3 linked regions of the Schizosaccharomyces pombe genome follow. The gene in region 1 interacts genetically with each later gene. Each region holds a gene or a part of one and is shown on either strand. Other genes may lie near its edges.

Region 1 (3,886 bases):
CGTTTCGGATAATTTTATTCATAAACTATAAGTAAGCTATAAACTATTCCTTGTGCATCTCTCAAAAAGAAATCAGAAGTTAATGGAGAACAAAACAGCTTCCACACAGTTAATGATATCCTTGAAAAAATATAGAACACCTTAAAGTATGGGTCAGTAAAACAGCCAACACAAAAGTCAGACAAACAGACGTTGAAAAAGAAAGAAACAAAAGGGAACGAGAAATCTCAGACTGACGTGCAAATCAGATGGAAAAAGTTTCAGCATACGATGCTCAGTTGAACTATGCTTTTTTGGAATCATCAAAGAAATCCTTTCTCCATTTACTTTTCCAAACGTCAATTCTAACAGTAGAAAACTTACCTTAAAAGTATAACATATACTAAATTCACAAGTCTTCAAGCTTGAAATTTAAGTATCCATACACAAAAGCGCAGTCACAGTGATCAAAATTTCGGCTCACAAATGCCCCAGTATTTGTTAGAAATGCAAGAAGATTAATGGAACAAATTTACTTTAATTCTACAGTTTTAAAGATAAAAAAGAAAGTCATAAACTTTCCAATCCCATAATCCAATTTACCAATGAGATGATTATAATTGATGTTTTAAGAAATCGACTCTTTTATCTTTTGTAAATGCTGCTCAGCATTTGAGGCCGTTGTTTCGTGATATGTTTGTTTCTTTTGTAGTGCTTCAATATCTTCTCTTAAACTTGCCATTTCTGCGTCCAAATGTGTACGTACGGAAGCCAAATCGGATTTCATAAACCTGTAAATAAACAGTTAGTAAATGACTTTACATATAGATTGACAGTACGGTCAATTCCATTCCAAAAGTGCTGTTTTTGCTAATTCCGTATTCTTTCCCTATTTTTATAGAAAAGAAAATAAAAATACATGTTTCATTTTATGACACTTACATCTTTCCAAGAGAAGTATATACGGCCTTATCTTCTCCAACATCCTCTAACTCTTTTTTGGCTAATTCACTTATTTTTAGTGCCCGTTCCTTGGCAGCAATCTGTACCATTATGGTCCTCAGTTGTTGCTGTGAATCAACCGCTTTCTCTTGTATTTGACTAGCTAACTAATATGCCCAAAGCTCATTAGTTTACCATGTAACACAGTTAAAAAGAGGGAAATTCCTAACAAAATAATTCTCTTCTCAATGATGAAATACGTACATTTTGCATTATTTAAAGGAAACTTGGGTATATCTCAAGAACTTATTTTTTTTGGATTGAATTGCTCTTTCCAAAATTATGGTACAAAGAATAGTCCTTTTAATACTTTTTTTATAGACAAATCAAGAACTTTTTCAATATATTTGAATATACCACCTTTACAAGTATATCAAGTCTTAGGCAAAATGTTGGTTAGGCCTTAAGTACAAAGCTGGCATGTTACAAGCTACTTTACACTGCTTTTATTATCGGTACGTTTCGCAAATGTGAATTACATAATACGCCACAATTTGTAATAAATATTTTGTGAAATGTTTTGCCATATCCTTAAGTTCTTCCTTACATAAATTGTTGGCGATGGCGTTCACAAACGAATCTTCATTTCATTCCTTCTCTGTTTCAAATTTTTGTGGAAAAAGCATATCCATATTCTTACTAAATCGGATTTCTGGACTTTTCTATTGCTTTGGAAATCCATTATCCTTGTAGTTCACTCATTTGCGCCTCAAATCCTTTATAATTGGAATTGGCTGTTTACATTGATAATTTAGCATTTTTGCATCATACTCAACCCTTTTTTTCTTCTTTTATATTTGAGTTGTTGAATTTTTTTTCAAGTGACTGTAGTTTTTTCAACATTTTCCGTTTATTTATATTAATCCGCCTTTAAAATAATTAAGGCACATTCAAAGACCAATATAGGAAGCAATAACGACATCATGACTGAAAAACACACCCTTCGCCTCGCTGATCCTTCTGCTATTGATTCAATTATTTCTGTTGATGAGTTTCTACAAATCAAGGAACAATACGATGCAGAACAACCTCTGATTACTTTACAAACCAAATTTAACCTTGCTTGGGCATTGGTACGCTCAGATTCTACACAGCATGTACAACAGGGATTATCTTTGTTCTGCAGCATTTACAAAGATTCACCGGAAAGGCGTTTGGAATGCCTCTACTACATTGCTTTGTCCCATTACAAATTGAAGCAGTATGAAGAATCCCGTCGTTATCTCAATATGTTGTTATCCAAAGATCCAAATAGCCCAGAGGCTTTAAAGCTAAAAAACCGTCTTTACGATGCTGTTACAAAAGGTATGTTTATTTTAATAAAACTTAATGAGGTATCACATATGCATGAATGTTGTGTTTATGTTAGAAAGATGCGTTATAAATAATGAAAAGAATCATTACTAACCCGTTTTTAGAAGGATACATTGGAATGGTTGTGGTAGCTGGTGCAGTGGTGTCAGTTGCAGCTCTTGTAGGTTGGGCATCAAAACGGTTGTTTTCAAAGCGTCGTCCTTAAACCGTAAACGATATTAATCACAAGGGAGCTTTCTTTTGCATAAATTCTTCAATTTTTTCTCCTTACGAACAATAGGATTGTGGATGTATCCTTTTCATGAAACGCGTATGAGTTACGAAGGCTTTGGGAGACATTATAGTGTGCACTTTTTTTAGAAAAAGAAGATTATAAATCGAAGCTTGTTGTTTTTATTATATTATCTTTTCTTCTTACCCAGTTGATAGTTCTGAATTCGCTTGTGTTTCTTCTTAACAGCAGGGTAATAAATTTACCTCAAGGAGGTTTTAGATTGTTATAAAAAGAGAGTGAGTATTTATTATAAAAGCTGAATAAGTTCCTCCTTTTATACTAATTCAAAAGTTTTGTATCGATTAAACCAAAAAATATAATGATGGACATTAATGAATGATTTTACAATCCAATTCCCTCTTCCTGTTTGAACAGTTTATTAAGCCCAATAAAGAAAGAAAGAAAGAGTGTACCTTCGTCGATTTTCCAAGAAAACATCCAAAGACTCAAGTATTTGAGATGATGAGCTTTATAAACGAGATTTTGTTAAGACAGACTACGAAGCCTTTCCTCTAGCTTAGCCACTTGAGACTTCCGACCTTCCAAGTGACGTCCCAAAACATTAAGTTGTTGTTCCAGCATTTTTAAGTCATTATCAATGGCGGAAGCGCTGGGGCCATTTGGTCCATCATTTTTTAGAGATTGAAGGATACCCAACTTATAGTCAAGTACTTTCTGTAAATCACGTTGAATAAGCTTTGACTTATTTTGTGCAATGTTAACATCGTCAGTTTCACGTTGAAGGGAAAGAATCTTTTCGTCCAATTTGGACAGCTCATTTCTTAATGAAATCAGCTCCCAGTCAGAGTCTCTCACATCCCTCGGGGCATCAAGATCACTCTTCGGCTTCGCACCACCCGTAGATGGAGCCATTGTAGGTGAAGAGTAATAGTTATTAGTAGAGTTGTAGGAATCTAAATTATAATCGATATTTCCTCTCTTAAAACTAGCCTTTAAACTGTACGGGACATCATTAGGAATACGGAATCCGTTGGATCTCTGAGTAAGGATGTGCAAAAATACTAAACACTGATCTTTCTGTATGGTTTCAGTACCCTGAGGATTGACAAGTTTCCAAGCCTTCTGAATTTGAGAGTTGGGAACCCCAAAAGGAGTAAATACAGGTGCCAGGCCATTAAAAGATACTTCTCCGTGTTTATTGCAATGTAGGGAGTAAATATCGGAATATCGAATTTTATCGGATGGAGAAATGTACCAATCAAATCCATCTTTTAAAACGGCATCTTCCGGGTCGGTATCAAGCGAAGGTACTTTGTGTAAGAGAGCAATATCATCATTTCCACGAAGAGCATCTCG
Region 2 (4,781 bases), on another chromosome or scaffold:
AAATTTAATTAAGATTAATAATTATAACTAATTTTGAAGAAATTATTATAAAGAAAATAAATACATTGAACATCAACACATCCCCTTCAATTCATATACAAAGTGCATTTCTCGATTTTAGGACTAACTTGAAACACAACGCACAAACATTTCCACAACTTGATCTTTGGTTTTGGCGTGAAGGTTGTTAGTGCTAAGCTATACATTACTCCTTATACTTCATCGGTAGCAGGCATGGAGTGCATTTGATAAGCTTGATTGTTGGATGATGATGGACTGAAAACATTACCAGCCGCATCATACGAGGTACCATCAAAATTTATTGGAGGTGACCTATTTTTCGATTTGTCGGGTCTATTTGTATCGCCCTGCGTTGTTGTACCCGCTGAAGACTCACTAGCTGCATCCCAACTAATAGTTGGCTGCGATGTAGAATACGACGGAGGAGGAGCCAAGCTTCCAACCGCAGGAGCGAGTCTCCATTTCTTGATGTTTGCTTCAATAAATACATATCCTGCTTGTCCAAGATTGACATGTAAGGTACAAGGTCCAATTGCACCAACCGTAGGATACAAATTTCGATATGTACACGGCAGTTCTGCACACCGACGACCGTTACGTGTAAAGAAGATCCGATTGCACTTCGGTTTGTAACCAACACCAATTACATCTCCCTGCTGGTAGAAAGAGGAGTACGGTTTTCCCGTAAATGGTGAATTACTGCGGCGTGTTCCATCCGACACATAAGCAGTAGACCAAAAATTCCAACCAGGCAATCGAAACGGCGGATATGGCTTGGTAGCCAGACCGATGGAAACCAAGGTATCAATAGGTACGTCTAAAAGTTTTACTTCAAAATAGTATACTTCATTGATCCTCTGCAAAGGCAAATTGGTTTGCATGCAACATTCTTCGTTGCCCAAAAAAGACAATTCAGTTTTATTTTTAACATAGCAATTATATTCCTGATTTGGGATAAAGTGCCATGCTAATACGCCCTTCTCTTGAACTTGTAGGAAGTCAAGCAGCTTTGCATCCGTGTTGACGTTAGATTTCATGGAATTCAACTCAAACTCACGAGCTTGTAAATACCGTTCTTTCCCCATATCATCCAATAAACTAAATCCTTCTTCATCAATATGTTCATTCTCTAACGCTTCGTCGTCCAACTCACCAGGATTGGTGTTTTTCAGCAAGATCCGTCCATGTCGTGTGTATCGCAGTAATAAGATGACTGACAAAAGACAGATTAAAAGAACAATGACAGCGGCTAATGCAATAAATATGAAAAGGATTGCTAAATTAGGATGGGTGTTTGAAGATTCCTGTAATCTCAACTGGCGAATCTGATCGGGATGCATGACTCAAAGACGCAAAAAATAATTTTTTATATAAGATTTGAAAAAGGAAAATCTGCGAGTGTATATTTAATAGAGAAATAAATAACTGAGAGTAAAATCCTAGCTATAAGAGGATATAGTATAGGGTTAAGAGAAAAAGGATTTTTCTCTCAGATATGCAGTTTATTAAGCACGAGATACAATATTTAAATCTAACGTAGATGCAAGTATCTCAAATATTGCACTAATATGGTTTTTGCGAATGCTCAAGGATTGGGCGAAATGGTATACTTGTTTCAAGTTTACAGGAGAAAATACAAACTCCTTTAAATAAATAAGATATAATTCTTAAGATAAAAAAGAATTTATTCCTGAAGGAGCCACAATGGCCTGTTGTAAGGTAAAATCGAAAATCAGCGGCAATTTACCAGATAATACTGCTCCGTCACAATTATGCTTATAAGTTTTCTGTTTTTACAACCATAGATTGGAATTAACCAAATTTTTATTCGAAAATTTACTTTGATTCGTTCAATGTTTGCTTCCGGATTTCAGATGGTAATGGGAAAAGGAAGGTTACGAAGCACCACGTAAAGGCCACATGGATACTACTCCGTCCATTAACCAACAACACCTACCATGTCAGGGTCTCGAAAACAAGAAGCAATAGACGAATTAAGGAACTCTCTTGATGTTCCTGCTGATACTGCTCAATCTGTTTTGGAATCATTTAATTGGGACGTTCAGGTATGTGACACGGCAAGCATTCATTTTCAGTATTCGATAGTGATCAATTGCTTTGATTGAAAAATTCCAAGAAAGTTGTTATTTGCAACTGAACATTCATGGAATCCTCTGGTTGTCGTTTATTTTTCTAATCGAATTTTCGGTGAATGTTGGGACTGAGCCATTTTGCTAACTGTTTTATGATTAGGAAGCGATCGAGAGTTTAACTGGAGAATCGTCAAGAGTCGATAGAAATTCAAAGCTTGGATTAAGTTTCGGCGTCTTTCAATCTGTTTTTTCTTTGCTATTCAGTGGGTTGCACAAACTATGGATGATTTTGTCAAGGGTTCCTCTGATTTCAACATTTATCCCCATTTTTGGTACTACTAAGCGTGTCCTTTCTCCTGCAGACACTGCGAACAAGCTGGTTCAGAATTTAGAAGAGCAATACGGTACTGAGCATATTGATTTTTTTACTGATGGCGGCTACATGGAAGCGTTGACACGTATTAAGCGTAATTATGGAGTCGCATTGCTTTTCTTTACTAGCTCAAAGAATGATGACTCTGAGACGTTTTCCAGGAGTGTTCTTATGAACCAAGAGCTAAAGGAATTTTTAAATCGTCGAAACATTCTTTGCTGGACTGGTGATGTTTGTGAGGATGAGGCTTTCCGAGGTTCTCGTCAATTCCACTGCACTAAATTTCCCTCCGCAGTCCTTGTTATGTATTCACCTCAGCTATCTGAGCTTGTAGTTGCCGCCCAACTCCATGGATGTCTTGATAGTTCCAGCATCATTACCAATCTAACTAATGCTTTGGCTAAACATCTTCCTTCTCTTGAGCGTTTCCGTTCGGAGAGAGAAGCACGAGAAGCTGCTCGCGAGTTACGACGTCAACAAGACAATGCCTATCAAGCGTCCCTTGCCCGCGATCGCGAGCGTCAAGCTTTCGCGAGAGCAGAAGAAGAGCGTCTTGCAAAGGAGAAAGAAGAAAGAGAAATCGTTCAGAAAAAGAAAAAACAATATCGTGCTTGGCTTGCTTCTAATCTTCCACCGGAGCCATCATCTGAAGATGAACCTGCTCGTCTTTCGATCCGTTTTCCCGACGGATCTCGGGCTGTTCGAAGGTTTAAGAAGGATGATACTGTTGAATCCGTTTACAACTATGTGGATTATATGCTTTTTGAAAAAGAGGAGCCTGAAGAATTCGGTCGCGCTACTTCATCTTCTAATCCGGTCACTCCACCAAGTGACTATAAGCATGATTTTCATTTTCAACTATATTCTTCTTTGCCCAGAGCTTTGCTGAAACCATCAGTGGCTATTTCTACTAACAAAGCCATCTTTCCAAATGGCACTGTGGTGGTGGAGCTGGATGATTGAAATTAACAAAATTGTTTGTCTTTTTAAATCATAATGACAATTTACGACTATCGACGTTTCGAATCCGTTTTTAAATACATTTCTAAGATTTGATGTATGATGAATTTATTTTCTCTTTTCTATTTCTACTACTGAATTAATTGTTGTTTATGGCATGAATGTCTACTGGACGCATTGACTTTTTATTTTGAGCAAACTTTCAATGCACCCTTTAATCTGAGTACATAGTCGATTTCCACTAGATTTTCTGTTCTTTGCCAAAAACCTTTTCTATGCATGTCATCTTCATCTCTGTTTTCTACGATTTTCTTTGCAATGGAGGACAAAGGCTAGTAATTTAGGCTTTGTAGCATAAAAGTTTTGCCAGCTTTCGTCTGTGATGAGTGAGGTATGTATTATGAACATAAATTTGTTTAAAATATAAATCTTTCTTTATTGCAATTCGAAAAAGTCTAGTGGCTTTGTTTCTAAACAGCTTAAATTTTACCTTTAAACTTTCATTAATGTTAAATTTTTATATAATTAATATACAAATTAGTGCATTAGATTCACTTTATGTCAAGCATTATGACCCCAAGCATGGAATTTCTCAACGTTTCTAACAAAATTGGAAAAGTAAAGCGGTGAAATTATTTCCTTTCAGACTGAGCAAGTTTATTTTACATTCCTTTCTGTAGCGTGTTTTATATTCCATTTACTGCTATGTCTTAAGTCATTCAAATTGAACCATATAAGGATACGTTCGATCACGTTACAATCATCGTAAAAAGGAGAATCGTCAAGTTGAACCTGTACTTTATTCTTTTCTGGGCAATAGCTGATAATTTACCTGGTTATTCTAGATACAAAGAATGTCCAGTCTTCAAAAACGCCCTGGCCCAGGTAACTCTAGTCAACCGACGTAAGTCTAGCAGGAACGAGCAGCATCATGAGTTTTGCTAACTTTCTTAAATAGTGAAAGACCAAGAAAAGAATCTATCCTTGATCTTTCTAGATATCAAGATCAACGAATTCAAGCCACGTTTACGGGGGGCCGACAAATTACCGGTATTCTAAAAGGATTCGATCAGTTGATGAACCTTGTACTTGACGATGTAGAGGAACAGCTTCGCAATCCTGAGGATGGTAAACTTACTGGAGCTATTAGAAAGTTAGGTCTTGTAGTCGTTCGTGGAACAACTTTAGTTTTGATTGCTCCCATGGATGGTTCTGAGGAGATACCGAATCCATTCGTCCAAGCTGAATAAAAAGCCACAAGCCCTTCATTTGATGTTTGACTATTGTTAATAAAATACTACAAGTTAATTATTATACCGCATGTGCATGTTTTG
Region 3 (3,676 bases), 2.2 Mb from region 1:
CACCCGAGCGAAAAGTATCGCAGGCAGCAACTAAGATTCGAAAGTTGTTAGATAAAAGCCAATACGCTATTTTAGCCAATGTTGTAGATTTTCCAACACCATTGACGCCAATGAGAGAAATGGTATACGGACGGTTTTCGTTTTTGCGTACAGAACGAATACTATGCAAAAGGTCCAAAGATGTACTTGGGGTGAGTATTTGAGTAAGCCTATCCCGAAAGGCCTTGTTTACTGTGTTTTTCACAGTATCAAACGAACCAACTTTTTTGTTTATCAACGAAGCCTTCACAGATTCACAAAGCTCCAGAGCTATAGAATTTGCGACATTCTTTTTTGTTAAATGTTCTTGCATTTGCTTTAAAATTGGACTAAGATCCTCCTCCTTCAAGTATTTCCCACCTATTAAGTTGGAGAAAAGGGAAAACGCAGAAGATGCAGATTTATTGGAAATTGTTTGATTGGGATCCATTTCCAAATCACTTATAATAACATCACCACTACCAGTCTTTTGAAACTTATTATTATTACCCACAATAGAAGAAAGTTGGGAATTATCGACTGTTTGGGAAGCAGAAGATGCTTGACTAGAATAGTTCAATGCAGCCTGTTCTTCCTCAGTTATTTGATCATCCCATTTTCTGAGTTGCTTCTTTCCTTTTTTAGGGGCATTTGTTTGCTTGGATTGAGCGCCTTTTTTCTTCATTTCATATTCATTTTTCTTTCTTGCTGAGTTATCATTATTAGCCTCAACAGGTAAAGATTTCGTGTCTGTTTCATTCTCCAGTTGTGCTGATTTACGATTAAAAATGGGAGCGAACAGTTTTTCAACTTCTGCTTCATTAGGAACTTGACGATCTTCTAATTTTTCTTTAAATAGATTCAGAAATATATTATGAGCACTATTAAGCAGTGATTGAGAATATGCCATACATTTCAAATCTTGAAACACAACCTAAAAATTCAACCGCGTTAATTAAGTTCAAATGACACGATAAAGGTATGGCTTTGACTTTGACAAATAATAGAAAATCAAAGATAAAGTATAAACAAAAAAATTTTTGGACCTCATTTTGGGTGTATAGTAATTGACAATTTCTGTCAAAGCACAAATCACAATATATTAAACTTACCACAAAAACTATGCTATATTGTGTAGCCTCTTGATACTGCATGGTGTACCGATCAAATGTTACGGTGTTGTTCACCGTTCTTTGCTCACTTAAGAAAGCTTCGTGAAATAAAACTTGAAGGCATTTCAAATTAACAAGAGAATTTGTTTTTTTCCAAAGTACTATGCCTCCTTTATTAACTATCGCAAACAAGTCAATCATTCCAGGCTCAATCACAAATGGCTTTAAAAGTAGTAAACTACTCACCAACTAAGAAGGAGTGTTCTTGATTAAACACATTGCTCACTGCCGTACAATACATAATAACGCACTATACCAAATCTATGGTGCTAATTGAGTTAAGCTATTTGCTTAAACATATTTTTCTTAACGTATTTTAAAGATTACCTTAAAACTTGTTGTATGCAATATTATACAAGGATAGATGCAATTTGAGACTAAAGGTTGATATTAACAGTAGGCTTTCGTTTCAACCAAAATTGTTTATACTTTTATATTAATAAAAAATGCCACTAAATAAAAAAGCTATTTTTTTACTGCTATTTGAAGGTGCGTTTTAAGTAAGGGAGAAATGAGCATGAATTCTGTAATCCAAATAAAGAGGTAAAGGGAGCACACACTATTCCATGTCTGGGCAACGAAAAATTCCTGAAAAGCTTCACAACTCTCATTGTACGAATGTGATTATTCTCAAGACTATTTTCACTGTAATTTTAAACTTTCCTTCCTACTTATAATCTGGCCGATTTTTGCCATTTTATTTTTTTTGTTCATTGTAATACGCTTAGTCGCAAACAAGTGAGTTATCATAATAACTCTGATGAAGCGAAAAGCCGTATTAGAAGCATTCAGCGATTCTGAGGATGAAGATGAAAAAAAATTAAAAGGTCCTCAACTTATTACTGGATTTAGCGCTGAAGAGGGAGTTCATTATCAGAATGAAACTATTCAGCGCATACACGAAAAGAAAAGAGCGCCAAAGATAATCCACATTGCAAGTGATGAGAACTGGATGGAAAAAAGAAAAGCCAGGTTTAAAAAAAAAGAAACAGAAGTTCATGAGAAACCTTCACAATTGCCAGATAGCGGCTTAAATTATGGTCTAAATATTCGGGTGGCTTCTTCATCAGCAGCGGATAATGAAATTGTGGACTGGAAGGCAAATAATTCAAATGAAAAGGCTCAAAATAAGATAGCCACAAATAAAGAAAGTACTGATATTCTTCCTGAAGAAGTCCAACTTGTCCTTAATGATTTAAATGACGATGTTAAAAGTGCTAATTCTGCCAACTTACAGCCGATTACCACTAATGTTGTTAACGAGAAAGATGCATATAGAAAAGACATTGACGAGCTTCCGGAGCCTTCTAATATGAAAGATTACTCGGAAATTCCGGTTGAAGAATTTGGCGCCGCCATGCTTCGAGGAATGGGTTGGAATGGTCAATTATCTTCTAAAGATGCTTTTGATGTTAATCAAAGGCCGACGTTTTTGGGTATGGGAGCCAAGCCTGTGGATTCCGAACTTACTGAGCTGGATATTTGGAAAAATCCAAAAAAGACTATGTTTCTTCCTGTTAAGCCTCTAGAATCAAATTCCGCTCTGAATTCACAAAACGAACATACTGAAGTACAGAAGAAGTCAAATTCCATTGACAACTTAACTCCCAGTTCAGAACTATTCAGAAAAAGAAGCCGAGATAACAACCTCTCAAGAGAGTCTTCAGTGAGCAGTAAACATTTAGATTATAATTCACGAAATTACAACAAACGCGATAGAGATCCAGACAGAACTAAGTATCGCGAATACCATTCGGAGCGCCGGAAACAACATCGAACAGACCGTTATTCAGATGATTACTATCAAGGAAGGAGTTATTCATATAAAAAACGTTCTCATAGAAGCGATAGATATACTGAGAGAGAAAATCCAGATAGAAGTTACAGAAGTACTCGTACACTTTAATGAATTTACGATTATCTTACTTTTTAAGTACCACAGTTACTAGAGTATCCTTTCCAAATAACCAAAAAATTGTTTATCAGTCATAAACGAAATAAAACATCTCATTATATTGCTCCGTAGTCCACATGAATAATAAAAATAGTAATCGAAGCTTTCAACCTTTATTCAAGAGCTTCGTGAAATGCTTTCCATTCATCGACGGTGAAAATTTCAGGAAACTCTGACTTAAATTGTACGAGCGACTTTAATAACTCGTTAGTATTTGCGACAGACACTTTATTTTTCTGGAATAAATAAAGTGTATGAAGAGATTTGGTAACACAATCCTCATCGACAGAATGTTCAAGACTGAATTGATAAACTTTTTCTGGAATCTGAAATTCGTGTGCCTTTTGAAGAATAATTTGTTTTGATTTATCTTCTTGAATAAGTAATGCATAGAAAAAAAAGATAACTCGTTTTGTCATAACCGAGTGTTTAAGCTCCAAGATTTCAATCAGCATTTCCCAAGAGTTTGGGATTTTATCTAATAAAGCAATTCCAGCTTCGTTAAGTTTAAGCTCACTAGTTATTGCATAAA

What was found.
Region 2: mutations in fis1 (region 1) and dsc5 together harm fitness more than expected from each alone (negative genetic interaction), as found in Schizosaccharomyces pombe (one large-scale study listed by BioGRID).
Region 3: mutations in fis1 (region 1) and cwf28 together harm fitness more than expected from each alone (negative genetic interaction), as found in Schizosaccharomyces pombe (one large-scale study listed by BioGRID).

Annotation. Positions count from the first base shown.
Region 1 is NC_003423.3:1,755,903-1,759,788, forward strand, and holds fis1 (protein Fis1), read left to right. Parts: upstream 1-1,557; 5' UTR 1,558-1,904; coding exon 1,905-2,286; exon of another isoform or gene 2,287-2,399; coding exon 2,400-2,500; 3' UTR 2,501-3,055; downstream 3,056-3,886. Other genes in the region: pfd1 (prefoldin subunit 1), read right to left, coding at 608-770, 922-1,088, 1,186-1,194; actin cortical patch component End3, read right to left, coding at 3,056-3,886. UniProt on the Schizosaccharomyces pombe protein: Has a role in mitochondrial fission. Has a role in outer membrane fission but not matrix separation.
Region 2 is NC_003421.2:1,814,123-1,818,903, forward strand, and holds dsc5 (UBA/UAS domain-containing protein), read left to right. Parts: upstream 1-1,962; 5' UTR 1,963-1,979; coding exon 1,980-2,087; exon of another isoform or gene 2,088-2,274; coding exon 2,275-3,450; 3' UTR 3,451-4,281; downstream 4,282-4,781. Other genes in the region: SPRY domain membrane protein, specificity factor required for ubiquitination Ear1, read right to left, coding at 213-1,361; U6 snRNP-associated protein Lsm7, read left to right, coding at 4,302-4,351, 4,406-4,697. UniProt on the Schizosaccharomyces pombe protein: Involved in protein degradation through the ubiquitin/proteasome pathway.
Region 3 is NC_003423.3:3,991,112-3,994,787, reverse strand, and holds cwf28 (splicing factor Cwf28), read left to right. Parts: upstream 1-1,802; 5' UTR 1,803-1,950; coding exon 1,951-3,096; 3' UTR 3,097-3,176; downstream 3,177-3,676. Other genes in the region: signal recognition particle receptor alpha subunit Srp101, read right to left, coding at 1-952, 1,131-1,331; fes1 (Hsp70 nucleotide exchange factor), read right to left, coding at 3,258-3,676. UniProt on the Schizosaccharomyces pombe protein: Involved in spliceosome maturation and the first step of pre-mRNA splicing.